Oryza sativa Japonica Group: one gene and its partners. The protein of the gene in region 3 binds, or shares a complex with, the protein of the main gene of each other region. Links are inferred from orthologs where the notes say so. Each region holds a gene or a part of one and is shown on either strand. Other genes may lie near its edges. The genes, in order: NAD(P)H-quinone oxidoreductase subunit N, chloroplastic; photosynthetic NDH subunit of subcomplex B 1, chloroplastic; photosynthetic NDH subunit of lumenal location 5, chloroplastic; photosynthetic NDH subunit of lumenal location 1, chloroplastic; photosynthetic NDH subunit of subcomplex B 4, chloroplastic.

Evidence for each region.
Region 1: photosynthetic NDH subunit of lumenal location 5, chloroplastic (region 3) and NAD(P)H-quinone oxidoreductase subunit N, chloroplastic share a complex: the UniProt entries of both Arabidopsis thaliana proteins name them as parts of the chloroplast NDH complex. The link is inferred for Oryza sativa Japonica Group from reciprocal best matches to the Arabidopsis thaliana genes Pnsl5 and NdhN.
Region 2: photosynthetic NDH subunit of lumenal location 5, chloroplastic (region 3) and photosynthetic NDH subunit of subcomplex B 1, chloroplastic share a complex: the UniProt entries of both Arabidopsis thaliana proteins name them as parts of the chloroplast NDH complex. The link is inferred for Oryza sativa Japonica Group from reciprocal best matches to the Arabidopsis thaliana genes Pnsl5 and PnsB1.
Region 4: photosynthetic NDH subunit of lumenal location 5, chloroplastic (region 3) and photosynthetic NDH subunit of lumenal location 1, chloroplastic share a complex: the UniProt entries of both Arabidopsis thaliana proteins name them as parts of the chloroplast NDH complex. The link is inferred for Oryza sativa Japonica Group from reciprocal best matches to the Arabidopsis thaliana genes Pnsl5 and PnsL1.
Region 5: photosynthetic NDH subunit of lumenal location 5, chloroplastic (region 3) and photosynthetic NDH subunit of subcomplex B 4, chloroplastic share a complex: the UniProt entries of both Arabidopsis thaliana proteins name them as parts of the chloroplast NDH complex. The link is inferred for Oryza sativa Japonica Group from reciprocal best matches to the Arabidopsis thaliana genes Pnsl5 and PnsB4.

What each region holds. Positions count from the first base shown.
Region 1 is NC_089035.1:38,936,205-38,939,093, forward strand, and holds NAD(P)H-quinone oxidoreductase subunit N, chloroplastic, read right to left. Parts: upstream 1,753-2,889; 5' UTR 1,648-1,752; coding exon 1,285-1,647; intron 1,170-1,284; coding exon 1,053-1,169; intron 940-1,052; coding exon 854-939; intron 770-853; coding exon 700-769; 3' UTR 506-699; downstream 1-505. Other genes in the region: protein DMP7, read left to right, coding at 1-487. UniProt on the Arabidopsis thaliana protein: NDH shuttles electrons from NAD(P)H:plastoquinone, via FMN and iron-sulfur (Fe-S) centers, to quinones in the photosynthetic chain and possibly in a chloroplast respiratory chain.
Region 2 is NC_089042.1:10,686,223-10,690,229, reverse strand, and holds the start of photosynthetic NDH subunit of subcomplex B 1, chloroplastic, read right to left. Parts: upstream 2,812-4,007; 5' UTR 2,615-2,811; coding exon 2,039-2,614; intron 1,283-2,038; coding exon 1,092-1,282; intron 571-1,091; coding exon 313-570; intron 193-312; coding exon 75-192; intron 1-74. UniProt on the Arabidopsis thaliana protein: NDH shuttles electrons from NAD(P)H:plastoquinone, via FMN and iron-sulfur (Fe-S) centers, to quinones in the photosynthetic chain and possibly in a chloroplast respiratory chain.
Region 3 is NC_089039.1:192,254-196,333, forward strand, and holds photosynthetic NDH subunit of lumenal location 5, chloroplastic, read left to right. Parts: upstream 1-1,272; 5' UTR 1,273-1,309; coding exon 1,310-1,339; intron 1,340-1,438; coding exon 1,439-1,627; intron 1,628-2,379; coding exon 2,380-2,530; intron 2,531-2,634; coding exon 2,635-2,723; intron 2,724-3,301; coding exon 3,302-3,356; intron 3,357-3,443; coding exon 3,444-3,529; intron 3,530-3,615; coding exon 3,616-3,768; 3' UTR 3,769-4,005; downstream 4,006-4,080. Other genes in the region: uncharacterized protein, read right to left, coding at 97-275. UniProt on the Arabidopsis thaliana protein: NDH shuttles electrons from NAD(P)H:plastoquinone, via FMN and iron-sulfur (Fe-S) centers, to quinones in the photosynthetic chain and possibly in a chloroplast respiratory chain.
Region 4 is NC_089037.1:9,604,693-9,608,373, reverse strand, and holds photosynthetic NDH subunit of lumenal location 1, chloroplastic, read right to left. Parts: upstream 2,410-3,681; 5' UTR 2,290-2,409; coding exon 2,248-2,289; intron 2,172-2,247; coding exon 2,075-2,171; intron 1,989-2,074; coding exon 1,905-1,988; intron 1,762-1,904; coding exon 1,688-1,761; intron 1,578-1,687; coding exon 1,455-1,577; intron 1,323-1,454; coding exon 1,251-1,322; intron 1,066-1,250; coding exon 969-1,065; intron 816-968; coding exon 706-815; 3' UTR 502-705; downstream 1-501. Other genes in the region: E3 ubiquitin-protein ligase CSU1, read right to left, coding at 2,915-3,593. UniProt on the Arabidopsis thaliana protein: NDH shuttles electrons from NAD(P)H:plastoquinone, via FMN and iron-sulfur (Fe-S) centers, to quinones in the photosynthetic chain and possibly in a chloroplast respiratory chain.
Region 5 is NC_089036.1:31,696,002-31,699,362, reverse strand, and holds photosynthetic NDH subunit of subcomplex B 4, chloroplastic, read right to left. Parts: upstream 1,997-3,361; 5' UTR 1,891-1,996; coding exon 1,801-1,890; intron 1,697-1,800; coding exon 1,652-1,696; intron 1,558-1,651; coding exon 1,404-1,557; intron 1,310-1,403; coding exon 1,254-1,309; intron 1,165-1,253; coding exon 1,093-1,164; intron 946-1,092; coding exon 817-945; 3' UTR 510-816; downstream 1-509. UniProt on the Arabidopsis thaliana protein: NDH shuttles electrons from NAD(P)H:plastoquinone, via FMN and iron-sulfur (Fe-S) centers, to quinones in the photosynthetic chain and possibly in a chloroplast respiratory chain.

The DNA of each region.
Region 1 (2,889 bases), on a different chromosome or scaffold from region 3:
CTTCGCGCCCCTCCTCACCGACGACGGCAAGTGCACCCGCCTCAACCGCGCCCTCACCGGCGCCCTCATGCTCCTCTGCGCTGCCTCCTGCGTCTTCTTCACGCTCACCGACAGCTTCCGCTCCCCCACCGGCCGCCTCCGGTACGGCATCGCCACGACGAGCGGCATCCGCACGTTCTGCGTCGGCGGCCGGCGTCGCCGGCGGGGCGGCGGGAAGGCGGGGCCGAGGGAGCCGGAGAGGTACAGGCTGCGGTGGTCGGACCTCTTCCACACCGCCCTGGCCCTCGTCGCCTTCGTCACGTTCGCCGCGTCGCACCACGACATCGTGCTGTGCTACTACCCCGGCGTGCCCAGGAAGGTGGTGAACACGGTGCCCCTCGTGATCGGCTTCGTGGTCAGCCTCCTCTTCGTGCTCTTCCCGTCCAAGAGGAGGGGAATCGGGTACCCGTTCCTGCTCAGCACCGACCTTGTCTACCTACGCCGCTGATGAGACGAAAGGATCGCATGGTCTTCTGATGGATTTGTATTATGTGAAAGTTTGATTTTACATGGTTGTCTTGGGGTAATTTGAGCCAAAATGTATGTACATTCTTCATTGCCTCTCTCAAGTGAAGTACAAAGCGGGAAACAATGTGTGTTGGATGAGATATATATCAAGTAACTTTGTTTCAGGCTGCCTGTTAATGGTCTTGATCTTGTTCATTCCTCTGCGTCAGGGTCCGGCTCAAGGCCCGCGATTTGCTTCAGCGGCTTCCACACAAATTTCCTCCTGGGCCAAACAGGGCACAGAATTTAATTCAGAGATCACAAGAACACATCGTCATCATTAATTTCGGGGTTCAGGTTTACGTACCAGTTGCCGCATTCCGCGATCACCCTGACTTTGGGGCGGATGTCAGGGAGAATGGCGAGGAACTGCAGCTCGGCCTTGGAGAGAACCTGCAGAAATAGAAACCACCAAACAAATTAACGGGACGCAGAAACGAAACGGGAAATTGCAGAGCTGAGCTAGAGAACAGGATGGTGAGATCGATGGATCAATGGATGGAGACCTTGGCTTCCATGACCCAGACGACGAGGCCCTTGGCGTCCGGGTGCAGCAAGCTGAGCCTGTAGTCCACCTCCGGCGGGAAGTACCACCTCGCCACCGGCTGCCTCCCGAGGCTCGGCTGCGCACATCAGAGCAATCAAGCAAGCAAGCTCGTGTCAGCCATGATCGGAGGCAGCTAGCTACTAGCTAGCTCGAGATCGAGATCGAGAGAGAGGATTGTTTTGTGGACTGACCGGGCAGACGGGGTGGATCTTGGTGAGGGTGGTCTCGGGGTCGCCGAGGCCGCGGGCGGAGAGGTCGAGGAAGTAGTAGCCCTGGTAGCTGAGGCGGCTGAGGTAGCGGCCCTCGTAGCCGCCCTCGTGCGGCGGGTAGATGGCCAGCGACTTGTGCTTCTCCACGTCGTCCAGCCACCGCCCCATGTCCGGCTTCACCAGGTCCCCTCCCACGAAGTCCCACAGCCCTGCCCGCGCCGCCGTCGTGCTCGCCGCCCGACCATTGCCCACCCGCGCCCACGCCCCGCGCCGCTGCTGATGCTGCTGCAGGGGCGACGCCGCCGGCAGCGGGGTCACCGTGCGCGCCGCCGCCGCCGACCACATCGCTGGTTGCTGTAGTGTAGTGTGTGTGGGTGGGTGGGTGTCGTTTGTTTGAGCCTGTGGCGGGAAGATAACAGCCGCGCGCGTACTGACCGCGTTGAGCGGATAAGACTCGGAGACGGTGTCGTGCGCCCAGTTTGTTCAACTGAGCGGTGATCTCCGCGGAGTCCACCCAAGCGGATGGTCCGAGACGTGGCCCAAGCATGTAACCACGCTAGATCAGGCCCAAATACGAACCCCAACACCAGAAAGCCGTAACCCGTAAGTTCCATTGATAGAGTAGGAAAAAAAATACAAGATTACAATGTTGTAATATTGTAACCAAGAAAAATGAAAAAAAGTACATCACCACCCACACACCGATAGCACCAACACAAAATCAAGATAAGGCTATCACCGGGCCAGCCGCCGCTAAGCGTGACCGACCACCACTAGGCCAACAACGAAACACAGCCGAGATTTTGCCCAAACCCGACCCTTACAACCAACGCAAAACCACTCTATCCAAGTCTTCGGGATTTAGGGAGAGGGTGAGAGAGAAGAATGAAATTCCTCTTCCCTTAGTCCCTTCGACATGGCCAACTTGCAGAAACTAGAACGCTGTCACAAGAGGATGAGAATCTAGAGTGAGCTTGCACCAAAAGCTTGAGGGTTTCAACAAGGTGATGCCTAGACGATGTTTCTAGTTTCTACCACGAAAACGGAGAGAAGTGATGAAACATCGCCGCCACAGTCTATCAAGATCTCAAATCGAACCAAGACTAGGCTTTCGCCCGACAACTACACTTGAGGGTGAGATGGCATAACAACGGCCTTAGGAGGGGAATGACGCTCGAACATCATCGTTGCTGGTCTGGCCAAGACCGGGCTAGGATTTCACGCAGCCTCCCGCACCTCCACCGCCGTCACCGTCGCCCACAATCGTCGCCGTCCGGATCCGGCCGTAGTGGCGCCGGTCCTCGCCCGCCGCCGCTAGATCCAGGCACGGATCTAGCGGTCTCCTCCTCCGCCGCCGCCAACACCTCCAATCGTTGCGCCCGACCACTCTGCCCCACCGCCAGATCCAGCCGGGCGTAGAGATGGCAATGGGGGCCCGTTCACCATTTCCCCGCGGTGAATTCACCTATTAGGTGACAGGGGATGGTTAATATCCACTCACCATGGGGAATGAAATGGTTAAAAACCTCTCACCATCGGGGATGACGGGGGCGGGGACGGTGAACCATTCCCCGTCCCCGCCCTCCA
Region 2 (4,007 bases), on a different chromosome or scaffold from region 3:
TTACCTGTGAAAGATGATCTAAGGTGTTTTCAGATTGCAAAGTGATTGTAATGAAGAAGCATCAAAGAACCTACTTGGCCAGGAGTGGTGATGAACAGGATATTGGTGTCCTTCCCCACAGTCTCCTCAACCTCTTCCCTGTGCTTCTGATGAGGGATCACAAACAGAGGCTTCAGACCATTGTCTTCAGAGCTGCCAAGACACCACCATTTTTTTGGCTTTAGTTCTACCTTCTCACAATCGGTACCAAGCTGGAAATGTAAGTGTAAGAGCAGCCGTGCTTGAGTGAGTGAGTGAGGTGAGGTGAAAAACCTGATCTCCTTGGCGATCTCAGCCCAATGCTCGAGAGGGAGGAGGCAGTCATCGTCCCCCCTCGACCTCATGTTGGCGAAGGAGTCGGAGGCGATGCCGTGGACGACGACGAACTTGCCCTTCTCGACGCCGGCACGGCTATATTTGTCCTCCACGAACGCTCGGAGCTTCTTGGAGATGGACACCCGCAACGGCGGTACCGGGTGCTCCGGCACACCCTTCGCTGGCCGCCCAATCCACTCCAACATGTCCTGATACCTAATCCATCCAGTTGCACACTCTTCGAAATCAGAAAGCATTTTGCAAGAATTTTATAGGATTTTGACGGTAATTGGTTCAACTCTTCTACAAGAATAATTGAGCAAGATTCCTAAGTTGCAAAAGAAGAGCTAGGCAATATCTGCTTTACTATAAGGGTTATAACTCTGCCTCTGCTTGTTTGTCTTATTAGCCGCAACCAAATATTAAATTTTAAAATTTAATTTTAGATTTGATTTTGAGTTTTCCTTATCATAGTTTATTTCTCAATATTGACTTTTGAACCATTAAGAACAGTTAAAAGTTTTGCCAACAAATCATATTCGGTTGCCTAGTTCATTTTGTTATGGCTTTTCAACCTAAATCAAAGGCAAAAGATGAGACAGTTGCCCCTATATAAATTAAATGCAACTATACAGCACAAGAATGCCAAAGCAGTAACTTTTTCGGATGAGGAAATTATAACAGTTATGAACCAAGGGGAGGCGAAACCGCGGAGAAGAGGAGGATGATGATCTTACATGTTGTAGCCGCTGTCGGCGAGGTTGGTGGTCGGCGGCCGGAACATCTCGGTGAGGAACAGCCCGGCGCCGGCGCTGTTGACGTTGGGGTAAACATAGCCGACCTTGTCGCGGGCCGACGACATGAAGAGGAAGAGCGCGTGCCCTATCCCGGCCAACTTGGTCGATATGATCAGATCATAGTACCTGTTCTGCCAACCTCAACACAAAATCAAGCTTCAGTTGGTTGAATCTTTCATGATAAATATAATCTAATCAAAATACTGAGCATATGTGGTGGGGAAGCAACATAATTAAGCAGGTTTATCTGATATTATTATGTTTAGAGAATCACAATAAATTTTGAACAAATTCAGCGCATATATCGAACCGGCTCGAGATGTGCAACTCCAATGGTTTGTTTGAAATTTGTCGAAATTAATGAAAAACCGATTACTCACTATGGCTCGAAAGTCGAAATCTGCTGACCATTAGAGAATGTAAACCTGGGCTGGGCATGACACTTCTGAAGGAGAGAGAATTCTAATCTCTCGAGAGGATATCTTCTCGTGTAATTTTTATTTTCTAAATTCAATGTAATTGGTTGTGAAAAATTCTAAAAAAAAATGACAATGCATAATAACATCTATTACTCCATAAAAACATATTTAAATTCGATCTATGCTTTGAGGAAACAAAAGACGAATTCAGACATGACACTACTCATATGTTGGATTTTTTTTTAATTATTTCTCAATGTGTGAGTTGAATTTTGACTTGATTTTTTTTTGAGTACTTTACACGTACGGTGTGTATGTTGTCAATTTTGAAAGAATTCTTAACAATTATTTAGATGAAGTTTGAATAAACGAGTGGACATAATCCCTTCTCGATCGAGTTTAAAACATATACATCCCCACTTTGAGTGACTATTTCTGTACGTAGCAGTGACATAATTTTTGGTTTACCTTGAGCACGCCGAGCTGGTGGGTGTACTCGGCGGGCTCGGGCCAGTCGTCGTCGGGGTCGTAGACGTCGGCGTACCTGACGTTCTTGCACATCTCGTACACCTGCTTCCCCCTCGCCGACGCCACCACGTCCACCACCACCCCGGGGTACCTGTCCCGCAGCAGCTGCACCACCGGGAAGAAGAGCACGTTCTCGTACACCCCGCCGGACACCACGCAGCACGCCCGCCGCACGTCGCGCCGCACCTTGGATGCCAGGCTATCCAGCTCCGGGTTGTACCCCGCCGGGAACCGCAGGAACCCGTACGGGTTCGCCGGGTCCTCCGGCGGCCGCGGGTCCTCCTCCTGCTTCCCCCCCGAGAACGCGCCGCGGTAGTCGAACTCGTCGTCGGGCCCGTCGTCGAACGGGTCCAGCCACGGGTTCTTCTTCTTCGCCGACGCCCGCGCCACGCCCGCGCCGCCGCGCCGCCCTAGCTGCAGCAGGTGGCAGCAGCATTGCCTCGCTATCGGCAGCGACGGCGGTGAGGGGAGCTTCGCCGGCGTGGCCATGGACGTCGACATGGTTGGCGTCTGCATGCTTGTTGCAGAGTGAGTGTGCTGATGAGTTGCTTTGGATATTGCTATTGTTTTTATTTATTTATTTCTATGTTTTTTGTTTTTTGGTGTGTGGAGGAGGGGTTTGGATGTGGTGGGTTAGGGATGTGTGGAGGAGGAAGGATAAAGTGCACGATGATGGTGCCAATTGGTCCTGTTTTCTTGTGCCACCATTCCTCGATCTCCTTTAATTTGGTTCATCCTTTTTGTTGATGTGGCAGCTGGCAAAATCCCTCCGAAAATTCTTTTGGAGTTTGGATTATACTTGTGAGTTTCTACAAGGATCTTTCAGAATGGAGTAATTGTAGAAGATTTATCTTTATGACAGCTGAACTAATCCTATCTTACTATAAAATTACCCCCCACTAACTCATTTAAGCTTAACATGCAAAGATGCCACATCATTATCCACTAATTAACCAGATGCCACATCATCATCCACTAACGATCATCACATTTAAACATCATGCAAACATGTTATATTATCTATAATTTTATAGTTTTTATAATTTAAGAGCTTTTAAAATACAAGCATGTTAAATTATCATCCCACATAATTCACACAATGTTTCAATGTATATCTATATTTTATAAAATCCTACTCCATCCGTTTCACAATGTAAGTCATTATAGCATTTCCCACATTCATATTGATGTTATGACTTACATTGTGAAACGGAGGAAGTACATACTTATATAGTTCATCCTCACTTAGTTAGTGCTTAAATGATTAATCTATGGTCCAAATTATATTTCTCCTTTTTTCCTCTAATTAAGTCATATCACATCAATTGTTTTTAGCCTTTAAATGATTAATCTACGGTCCAAACTACCCTACTTTTCTTCTTCCATAAAGTCATACCACCTTACTTTTTACGTTTGAATCACCATTCTACATACTATTTAAATTTAAATTATCATAAATCACATTAATTTACTTAATTTGATGTTATCTAGCTATCTGTCGGAGATATGGGCCCGGGGGTATGTAAAGTGAGGGGAATTTACCTTCCCATCCAGCTACGTGGCCCTGCAGCCTGGCCCTACCCCCGCACCTCGCGAATCGCAGAAGCGGCCGGGGGGCCTCAGGGTGCCACGTCATGCCCCTCGGGCCCTCGCGCTGCCCTGCCCCGAGGACCTCGCCCGACTGCCATGTGGCAGGGGGAGCGAGCGGGGAGGGGACCCAGGCTGAACCGCTATCAATGCGCGCGGCGCCCCAACTGCCCCTCACCGCATTTAATGCGGTAGGGGCAGACATGCGGTGCCGTCCGACTGACGCACGTCAGTCAGGACTAACCAGTCTGTCACCGGCCTGTTGCCGGTCACGTCTGACTGGACGGGCGGCCGTGCCCCCACGTCGCCTTTTTCTCCAGCG
Region 3 (4,080 bases):
ATAGAGCAATAATAGGTTAACAAAGTGAAGAGAGGGAGAGAGAGATGTGGATCTAAATCTGGGGGAAGAGGGAGATGAGATGGGGAGGGGACTGACGCGGAACCCTGGTTGTAGAGGTTGAGGGTGACGGCGAGGCGCTCCACGCCTGGACCCGGGCGGGACAGCGCAACCTTCTTCTGTGCTACCACGAACGGCGCATCCTGCCCGGCGGCGGCGGCGAAGGGCACGAGGAGGAGGAGGAGGAGGAAGAGGAGAGATCGCCACTGCTGCGCCATCACCGCTCACGGAGATTGCTTTGCTTCTTCCACCTCACCTCGACCGAGGCTATTGTTACATTACATGTGTGTTCAAGCCCATCCCATCTATTACATGGGCCCCCGTGAATACTATGCCCATCAGCCCATTTTACTACCTCCTGCCTCCTATGCGGCCCCCTCCCCTCTCTACCAAAAAAAAAATAATACCACCTCCTATTCTTATTTTTTAGCATTGTCCATATTTATATATGTGTTAATAGATCTAGACATATATGAATGTGAAGTCTTATAACCTAAAACTCAAGAAAAATATTTACTCAGGTCCTAGTTTTAAAAAATACTCAAAATACATATAAGGTTAACAATTAATTTATTCATCTAAGGGTTTAAAAATATGAATTGTTTATGTAGCTTACTTACCCAACATGAAAGTTTATATATAAATTTCAAGTTTTCACTTTTTTAAAAAAAATATTTTTGAGTTTTTTATGAGAGAGAAATTACTTACGCAAAAGATAATTTACATTAGAAATGAGGTATGTTCTCGAAAAAAGTTACATTAAAAACAGCAAAAAAAAAATTCTTGCAGTATATAATGGATAAATAATTTTTTTTAAAAAAATATAAAAATGTAAAATCTTAAAACTAGTGCATAAACTAGCATTTTTTTTCTTCTGAAACTTATGGTAGGATAAATCAAATATTAACCTTATATGGTGTATTTTAGGTATTTTTGAAAATAGTATAGTCCGATGGTATATTGTATAATAATTGATAACTTACCGATATATTATAGAAAGAGACACTGTAAATAAATAAATTTTAAATAGTTGGATTGGGACAAATAGAGTTGATTTAACAGATGCTTTTGGTCCCAAAAATAAAATATAGTACTTCCCCCAATGAAGAAGGTGTGTGTGATTATTGTATTTCCTGTGCACACATATGCAAAAATGCCATCCATTCATCCCAGTGCAATGCCCTATCTACCTATCCAATCCCAATCCACCTGAGCGAGAGAGAGAGAAAGGGTCTCCTCCTCAACATCAACAATGGCGGTCGCAACCTCCTTCGCCACACTCGTAAGCTCACTCATCCATGGCCTCTGCTCTCCTCTTCTTCCCCACCGAGCTCTCAATCTTATTATCGTCGCTCTTTCTTCTCTTGTGTTTGCACTGCAGGCCATCGCGCGGCCGGCGGCGGAGCGGGCCCTCCTCGCCTCCAAAACCCCCTCGCCGCTCCTCTCCATCCGCACCGGCACCGGCACCGCACGCCTCCCCTCATCGGCCGTCTTTGGAGGTTTCACTCCTGCGCTTTCCGCTGCTCACAGCCGCGCGCGCTTCGTCTCCTCCGCCACCGCTGACCCCAAGGTACTGTGTCCCCGGATCTTCTTCTTTTATCTGCCCTACATATATCTTTCTATTGCCGCACCGCATCCATTCTTGTAATCCTGTCTAGTAGTATATCAGTCAAATTTACTACTCCACCTTACTGGACTATTATTATGCAATCAGCCTCCGCAATACCGGCCCCTGTTTGTTGCCTCTTTGGAGGAAGAGATATTGGGTTAGCACAGATGACCTCGACCTTCCAACACCATTAAATTAAAACTAATACTAGTAATGCCTTTGTATGTCAAATTTTGTTATCAGATTTTTAAATCACCAGGTGAAATTTATGCTACCAAAATTGCAGTTTCAGGCTTATCATCACCAATGCTTTATTATGTATTCACCTGCTCTGATTAATAATTTTAGTTGCCTCGACCATAGGGTTCTGCTACTTACAGGTCTTACCTTGTATGTGCACCGAATGTAAACACGTTATTCATCATCAGTGACTGCCTGCAACATTGTGAGGAAACACGTGTGCCCTTCTGTACTACTGAAAGCTGGGTTTTCCTTTCCCATGTGCACTATGCGCTTTCATGTTTTCCTCCACTAGATGTTAACTTACGATATACTACCTCCTTCCTTTAATATATGACGTTGGTTAGTTCAATTAACATCATACATAAAAGAACAGCGCAAGTATCGATTATTCTTACCCTATGTGGGAGAACTGGATACCACGCTTCAAATTTATTCTTTCAGTTTTGCTAAACTTCTCCCATACATTGCAGGAAGTGGACCTCCAGTCCAAAATCACAAACAAGGTGTACTTTGACATAAGCATCGGAAACCCTGTTGGGAAGAACGTTGGGAGGGTCGTTATTGGCCTATACGGGGATGATGTTCCCCAGACCGCAGAGAACTTCCGTGCTCTTTGCACTGGTACAAAGGGCTTCTTGCTTTTCTTCTCTTCTGTCATCTACTACTTTACAGGATTACCCAGATTTGGTGCATGATACACATACCATTGCCCTTTTCCTTTTCAGGAGAAAAAGGGTTTGGTTACAAGGGGTCCAGTTTCCACCGTGTCATTAAGGACTTCATGATTCAGGGAGGAGACTTTGACAAGGGCAACGTATGTCTTCATTATTTACTTTCTTTATAATCTACTCCTATGTTGCACTTGTTCCTCTGTTTCATCTGACAAACTCTATTGGAAAAAGTCACATAGTGTAACATTACTCACAACACTGAATGAGCTCATGTGTTTGTTTCTATCTATCACCATTGAGCCAACTATTTCTCCAAAAAAAAAAAAGTTTGATTTGTTTTATCAATGTTAGCGCTTTATGCTGTTTTGGATAGAAAGCTGACCTATATATGTGTTTTGGATCATTATACAACTTTGTGTTATGCACTTCAGTGCTTGCCCTATGGTGTTTTAGATCATTATACTGCTTTGCATCATGTACATTATGAGTATGAATTGGTAGTTTGTGATCAGCATAATGTGTATGCAGTGATTATTGACTTCATGGCTAGATTACAAGGAGATTAGCACCAAATCCTTTTTCTTTAAATTGATGGCCTAAATTAAATCATGCAGCTGCCTGGTTTCATGAATTATGAATTTTTGACCTAGCCTACATCAAATCATTCAGCTTTCAACTTCTGCATGTGGATAAAGTAGGTTTCAAAAAATGAATATTTCAGGGTACTGGAGGGAAAAGCATATATGGCCGGACCTTCAAAGACGAGAACTTCAAATGTACGTCTGACAAATGACCTAATCTGATCGTTCTTTCTGCTTCTTATCTTGTGGTTGTGCTGATTATATGTCTTGTAATGTTTGTAGTGGTTCATACTGGACCTGGAGTGGTCAGCATGGCCAATGCTGGGCCAAACACCAATGGCAGCCAGTTCTTCATCTGCACTGTCAAGGTAACACTGTACTGATATGTTCACTGTGTACTAGTGTCGAAACTCACTCAAAATTACATTGCGCTGACTGCTACCTGCGAATGCAGACACCTTGGTTGGATGGGAGGCACGTCGTGTTTGGGCAGGTTATTGAAGGCATGGACATCGTTAAGATGATCGAATCGCAGGAGACTGACAGAGGGGACCGCCCGAAGAAGAAGGTGGTCATCAGTGAGTGTGGGGAGCTTCCAGTGGTCTAATAGGTGCCAGAGGGCTAATCTTCTTCCCCCGGAGACTTTGCTGTTTTTGGTTTCATAGTAAGCTGTGAACTTATCGCATGTTCTCCGCGCAGTCAGAGATCATGCTGAGTTGAGGCCAAGATTTCTAAGTTGAGAAGAATCCTCTATTGTTCGGCTGGAATAAAACGTTCTTACCTGTCGAGGGTCAGGAAATAATGTTGTGGTTCATGAAAGATCAAATGTCTGTCTTTTCGTGCATACGCAGACTAAAGTTACTCCTTTCCCAATACCTTTTGTTGCTGCATACTCTCTCTGTCCTAAAAAAAACAAACC
Region 4 (3,681 bases), on a different chromosome or scaffold from region 3:
GTGATCAAGTTCCTTTTCGCTCTGTTCAGCCAGGGGTCATGGTTCTGTGGCTTACCGTTTTGTCGGAGGAAAAATGTTAGGTGTCGCTGGCGCTGCTCTGAATGAGCGGAATGGTGACCTGGTCTTGACAACAAAATTTTAGTCTGAAGATTCAGATGACTAGCTTTGTTGAAACTCTAGGAACTTATTCTGGAAATAGTTAGCGGGTTTGGAGGGGAACTTATTCTGGAAATAGTTAGCAAGTTTGGAGGGCATTGTAATTGTTGTAATATATGAGTTGCAAACATTCTTTCTGAGGCCTGTGTACTTGATTCCTTTCGCCTCTGTAATGTATTGGTTTGATCGTGCACACGTCTGTATAGAAACGCTGTTGATCTGTTAAGTCCTTGGCTCCGGAGACTATGGCCTAATGGTCTGCCTTTTTAACTGATGGCTACTCGTCGCTTGCAAGTTGCAACTGATGGTTGAACCGATTCAATCAACATAATTAGATGGCTATAATAGAAAAATAGCTCTAATAGCATACACACAATTAATTAATTGAAGTCTATAAGGTAATTATGCATCCTTTTTCCTGGAAGCTGAGCCAGGGTGTTCGATCCAGCACTTTTTCTAGTGGTAGATCAGCGTCTGTATGTATGTATGTATCTACATGACTACGAAGCAATAAAATAAAAGATATTTCTGCAATTGAACTGCCTCCCATCACGCGGTGAGGTCGGACAGCTTGAAGGAGTCGGCGACGACTTTGAGCCTGTTCCTCAGCCTACTCCATCGCCGCTCGTTCGCCGTCACGATCAGTGTGTAGTACCGACCTGCCATGCCATTGCCATTGCCATCAGGTTAACCAGCTTCTTCTTATGAGAGGAAAAAAAAATACATGCATGATGAAATATACAATTTAATAGATGATGATGATATATATCTCTGCGATCTTGTGGTGAGGAGGCATCATATCAATATCATACCGTTTCCAATGGCAACCGTCGCAAATGCGGACACGCCGTAGCCCGGGGCCTCAAGATCGTACTCAAATGTCCAGTAGTTCTTGCCATCCACGGTGCGCTGCGAATCACAACAACTCAGTTGCTTATTTTGCTTGCAGAGTTGTTGCAGTCTTTGTTATAGCCATTCCAATGAGATCAGACGTAAATTAATCAGCGAAAGAGCAATGCAGCGACAGTTTGGTATACTCAGATAGATCATATGGCTAAATAGTATTGATTGAAGGAGATGGATAAATGGCAAACCTCTTGCATGTCATAGACAGTTGGTATTTGATTTGGAGCAGCATAAACATTGTTCACCAAATTGAAGATCGCCTGATAGAGGAGTATGTAAATTGTCAGAATAAAAAAAATCTATGATGTATAACAAAAGAAAAGGCTAAAAAAATTGCCTGATTCCTTTACATTACCAAGAAAGATATTATCAGATATCGCATGAAATCCTACCTCATCCATTGGACCAAGGTCACGGATATCTGTTTTTGTAGTAGGAATGAAGCCCACACGCACGCACTGCAGCGCTACATTACGATCTTTGAACGCTGAATCATGCCCCAGGAAGTCGAAATCCTGAAGTGACACATCAAAACAAAGGGCATACATCAATACCATGTACCACCGAAAACACAGTCATTGGAACTGACATCTCTGTTCTTCAAGACGAAAATATTGCAACCTACCCTCCAATCAGCTGGATACAGGTATGAATATCCATCTTTTGAATCCACATAAGACTTGTAATTCTTTGGCACTTCTGGAATATAGGAACAATCCGAGTTAGTATCATCTCATGGTGCCATAAAGGCTTAATGGCTACTTGAGAAGTGGGAACTTGTATGTAACATGCAGACAACCTAGTACTGAAATAAAACCATGCGACAGTTCAGATGGCCATGCCTTCAGCATATGCAGAGCTGCTCTTTAGCAGACCAGTGGCTAATGCTCCAGCACCAAGCAGAGCTAATCTCCTCCTTGTCACATCTGTAAGATGGAGAGATAATCAGCCAAAAAAAATGTTAATCTTCAGAAACAAAATGCATCGAGAGAACTGACAGAGAGGAATTTACTCTTTTCATCCGAGGATGCTTCACTCGAGCTAGCGTTGACGACTGACAGAGGAGACGCATTCAGCTTGCTGGTAACAGCACAATTTGGAGCAACCAACTGAAAACAACACCGATATAAAGTGGTGAAATAAACAAGATTCAGAAAACGATGAGAAGAGGGCACAAGCACACACCTGCTTGGAAACGGAGCAGATCAAATTCTGCAGGCTTGCCATTTCACCTGCAGGAGTAGCTATGAACCTGAAGAAAATACGTGTTCTTGCCTTCCTCCAGTCAAGTTATCCTTTGCTGCTAGGACTGGCTCGTTCGCTTTTCAAGTGTAGTCTGTGTGTCTGTGTGAGTGGAGGGCAAGGAAGCCAGGTCAGCATTTCCATTATCCTCATTAGAACTTTTGGCCTTGTCTCGTACTGAGCACTGACTGACAAAATGGGACCAATCCGTTCCTGTTGTGATTGTGGTGGAGATATGTGAGAGCTTTATGTTTTTCCAATTCTCTTTTTACCTTTTTTTTTGTACATTGACTTTGGCTGAAAAACAATATATGTACACACACACACACACGATCCTACCATCAGATCATGCGATACATATTCGATAGCTTCGATGTAACAAGAAAGATGATTTTGACTGTGCTTCAAACTTGGTAGATAAATAGTACAACAGCTGCGAACTAACGCATTTAGCCATAGCAAATAAGCAAAGCTGCAATTAGCAACCATAGTGCCACTAGCATAACAAGACTGAATTTGCTCCAGACTGTTCACAGCGAAAGGGGATGCTTGAAACAAAATTTTCAGGTTAACATAAATAATATACAACAGCAGCTAAGATATTTTGAGGCTAGTAGTTCTTTGGGGCAGGTTTCACTAAACCCAGTCCAGAACCACTCCCCAAATGCTTGAAATCTCTCGCCTCTAGACGCTCATCATGGGCAGCGAATCCAGTTCCTCCTTTTTCCAAAGGAACGAAATTCCTCTCCTTGCACGGTTTGTTGCACACCAAGCAGACCTTATCAGTTACAAGGAACTTGTCAGAGCACTTCTTGCAGAAGACATGGCCACACGTGCTGATCGTCACCAGGGACATGGTGTTTGTTAGGGTAGACTTGCAACTGGGGCACATGTAGCTCTTCTCCACCGACTTCTTGTTTTTCTGGTCGGTGTTTTCTTCAGTGAAGGAGATAGGGAAGAGCGATTTCAACTTGAGCTTCTCCTGTCCCTCGGGGCAGATTGTGTCAGTGGAGGGAGCTTCTACTTTGGCAGTAGCTTCAGGTGTAGCTGATGGAAGCCAGAATGCCTTCATGTTGCGAAGGGCTTCCTCCTCAAAGGAAGTAACCTTCACGCTGTTTGCTCCATGAAAACCATTCTTGTCTTCAGAGCCGCTGCGATCGTGGTATTGGGGGACGGCTCCATGATTCTGCTGATCAAAAGCGTCCAACTCCTTGGACTTTTGCAGCATACGCTTCTCATCCTCCTCTTCCTTCTCCAGCTTTTTCTGGGCCTCATGAGCAGCAAGTTTGCTGGAAGAACAAGAATTAACACTCAGAATTCCATCCGATTCATTCAGTTATACAAGCAGAAGATTTAAGATTATGTACGGAGATTTCA
Region 5 (3,361 bases), on a different chromosome or scaffold from region 3:
TTCAAGCCTGTCGAGAGACCTGTGTCGAAATAACTATTGTTAGTCTCTGATGACTGATGAGCTGATCGACGGAATACTACGAAGTTCTGCACCCTATACAAGTAGTATATACATGTGCTACCTACTGTGGTAGTGTGGTCTGTACTGTACGTTGAGTGCAGACTGATTGCTGCTGGTTCGCGGCCTGTAGTGGAGCAGCTCAAGTATGATCAGCGGTTCTTCTTCCTCGATCGAATGGCCGTGGCCGACGATGGCGTCCAATTCCCAGCGCGCGACCACCAGCGCAAGCAGGCCGAACTAACGGAGTTTTTTGGGCCAGTCCATCACCGAGCGGCCCGGTAAAGGTAGCCCATAATCGCTACCATTCTGTACTGGACCCAAATAAAGTTGGCCCGACACCGTGAGAGCCGACAGAACGAAAGCATATTGGATCGCCACAATTTGGTTGCGATCTGACAAAACTTCCGTCTCCACAGGGCACGTATATCCACCATGGTGTAGGTCTATATCAGTCGATTTACACAATTTATATATTTTGGAAGCAATATCCACCATGGTGAACGGTACAGGTTCTTTGATTAACATGGAGTAGTACATTCCTTCTTTTAGCCTACACTACAAATGCAATATAATGCATTCATGCAGACGGAGCACCTATTTGCTTTCCTTTTGAGTCTGATGCCAACATTTACAGGCGCTATCAGGCAACTGTGTATCTTGCTATTACACAGCCGCTCTGTACGGTATTACAGAATGCAGCCGCATCGCGCCATGATCATGCAGTCATCCATCCATGCGCAATCTCTCATTCATCCATCAGTTTGTAAGCTGCTCCTCCTTGGCTGCTTCCTCGAGTTCTCTGAGCCCTCCGACCCTCTGCTCGATCTCCTCGAGTAGCTCCTCCCTCAGGAGCTCCTCTCTTGCAGACGCCTCCAGGTCCTCTTGCTGCAGAATCAACCATGGGAGAGTGGAGATCGATCAGCAAAATGACTGGTTATCTTAGTAGCTTCGCACAACTAGAGTTTGTCTAATTGTCTGAATGTTCTTTCTTCGTGATAAAGGAAAAAAAAAAAGCCGTAATGAAAGACATACCCGGTCATAGTACCAGTGCACGGTGCCGTCACCCCCTTGTCCCCTGTACGCCTCACTGTCGTAGAAAGGATCCTGTAAATTCACACAAGACCGTGTCAGTAACACATATCGAAGATGTAATTTCGTTCCAAGTTGTAGTGGCATATGTTCTGCGTGCTTGCCTTCATGGACGCAAAGAAGCAGATGCCCCAGACTGTGAAGAAGGCGTAGAAGGTATCTACGAGACAGACAGAGAAATTTTTTTGTGAAAAGTTTCAGTTTCAGACGTAACAACAAACTGCAGGAAAGGTGAAACGACGACGACGACTCACAGACGCTCTTGAGGGCGGCGTCGCTGAGATGCCAGATCGACTTGTGCACGACGTAGTCCCTCTGCAGGTCGACGTGCTCCACCATCGTCACCATCAGCGTCACCACGTCCAACGGGGACGCGTTCGCCTTCACTGAACCCCTCCCGGCCGATTTCTGCAAACGCTAAGACCGCATTACTTTGCCTCACCAATCACCACGGATTTCTTCTTTCTCGGTGAAAAAATTAAAATGCACTGGGACCTTTCACCTTGCAACGGCTGGAGTTGGACCTCGGGTCATGGAATCCACCGAGCTGCAAATTTAACAACAACATTTGAACAAGTAGGTGAAATTCGCAAGGAATTCAGGAAAGCAGTTTTTGCATGAACGCGAAGGGGAGAATGGACGGTGCGGTACCGTTGCACGGCAGCGGCCATGGAGCTGGGCTCTGTTCGCGGAGTGAAGAGCAGAGAAGTGGGGGGACGACTTGAGCAGCGGCAACGCCATTGCTGGTAGGCTGCTGCTTCAGTAGCGGGTTGGCGATGAGCTTGTTGTTGTCAGTGTAGCGGGCTCACGTTTGGCTCAGGGGTGAAACCTGTAACCTGTAATCTGTATGGAAAATTTTAGTGGATAAGGTCAGACTTTTGGGTGGCCAACCATTGTCTGATCTTGGGCAGACGAAAAGCACAAGAATTTTGGGCTTGGTTGAAGCGGGCTTGAGCGTTGCTAGGCCTTGCCCGGTCAAGGTCATGTTTGGGCCGGATGGGATTAGGTTGACCCGTGGGCTCGTGGCCCGTTACGTGCATCCGTCCGCCATTTCTTGGAGGGCGCTACGGCTTGGCGTCCGGCATCTCACCAAAAATCGGACGCCCATGCAGGCATGTGAGAACGAACCCTGTCACTGTAACGTATGTGTCTAACTGCTTCTTTTCATTCTTTTCTCCTCTCTTTAGATATTTTTTATCCTAAATTACTTATCCAATTTACGATCCGATCACACCGTTCTATTCGTTGCAATTAAATCTTTACAATGAGATATCACATGATTATATTATGTCAAAAGAAAAACATGTATTTCAAAACGTTAAAACAAAATGTTTCGTACGTGATAGTGATATGTTTCAATATGTGTCATCGGTGTGTTTCACAAAATTCATGAAACTAACTGCTACTACTCTCTCTCCTCTCTCTCCACCTCATCCATGCACACATGTATGTATTTTAGCAAGCTTCAAAATAATTTTTCTCTTAAATTACTTATCCAATTTATGATCCGATCACACCATTATATTTGTTCTAATTAAATCTTTACAATAAAATATCACATGATTTTATTTTGATAAAAGAAAAATATATGTTTCAATTCGTTAATACTTGTTGTTTCATATGTGCCAGCGACATGTTTCAACGTGTATTTTCACCATGTTTCATAAAATACTTAAATGTTTCGGTTGTTGATTTTTTTTGTTTCACCATATATAACATAATGTTTCACTTGCTGGTCAACGCTCACCCCCGCACTGCCGCGCGCATACGCATGCATGTAGGCCGCCCATGCTGCATTGTTCACGTGCCACGTTGCTTGCCTCCCCTGTATGTGTTGCTTGCGCTGCTGCTTGCATACGCTCCCTCCCTCTCCCTTCTATTATTACATGTGCCTAATTTTTTCCTCAAATTTTAAATATTTTTTTCTCCAAAATTATATATTCTGATCTAAATTTCAATGATACCATTAGATTCATCATCATTAAATCTTTATAACAAGATCTCACATGGTTATATTTTGATAAAAATATACATGTGTCTCAAAAAATAACTTGTCTCACCATTGATAGAAAACTGTTTCATCACATGTACACAAATATTACAACTCACCTCGTGAATTGTTTCAAATTTAGAGAAATACAACAATTTACTAACTGAAACAATCACAACCACTACACAAAACGTTAAATACCAATGAGTGAAACATAAAAAA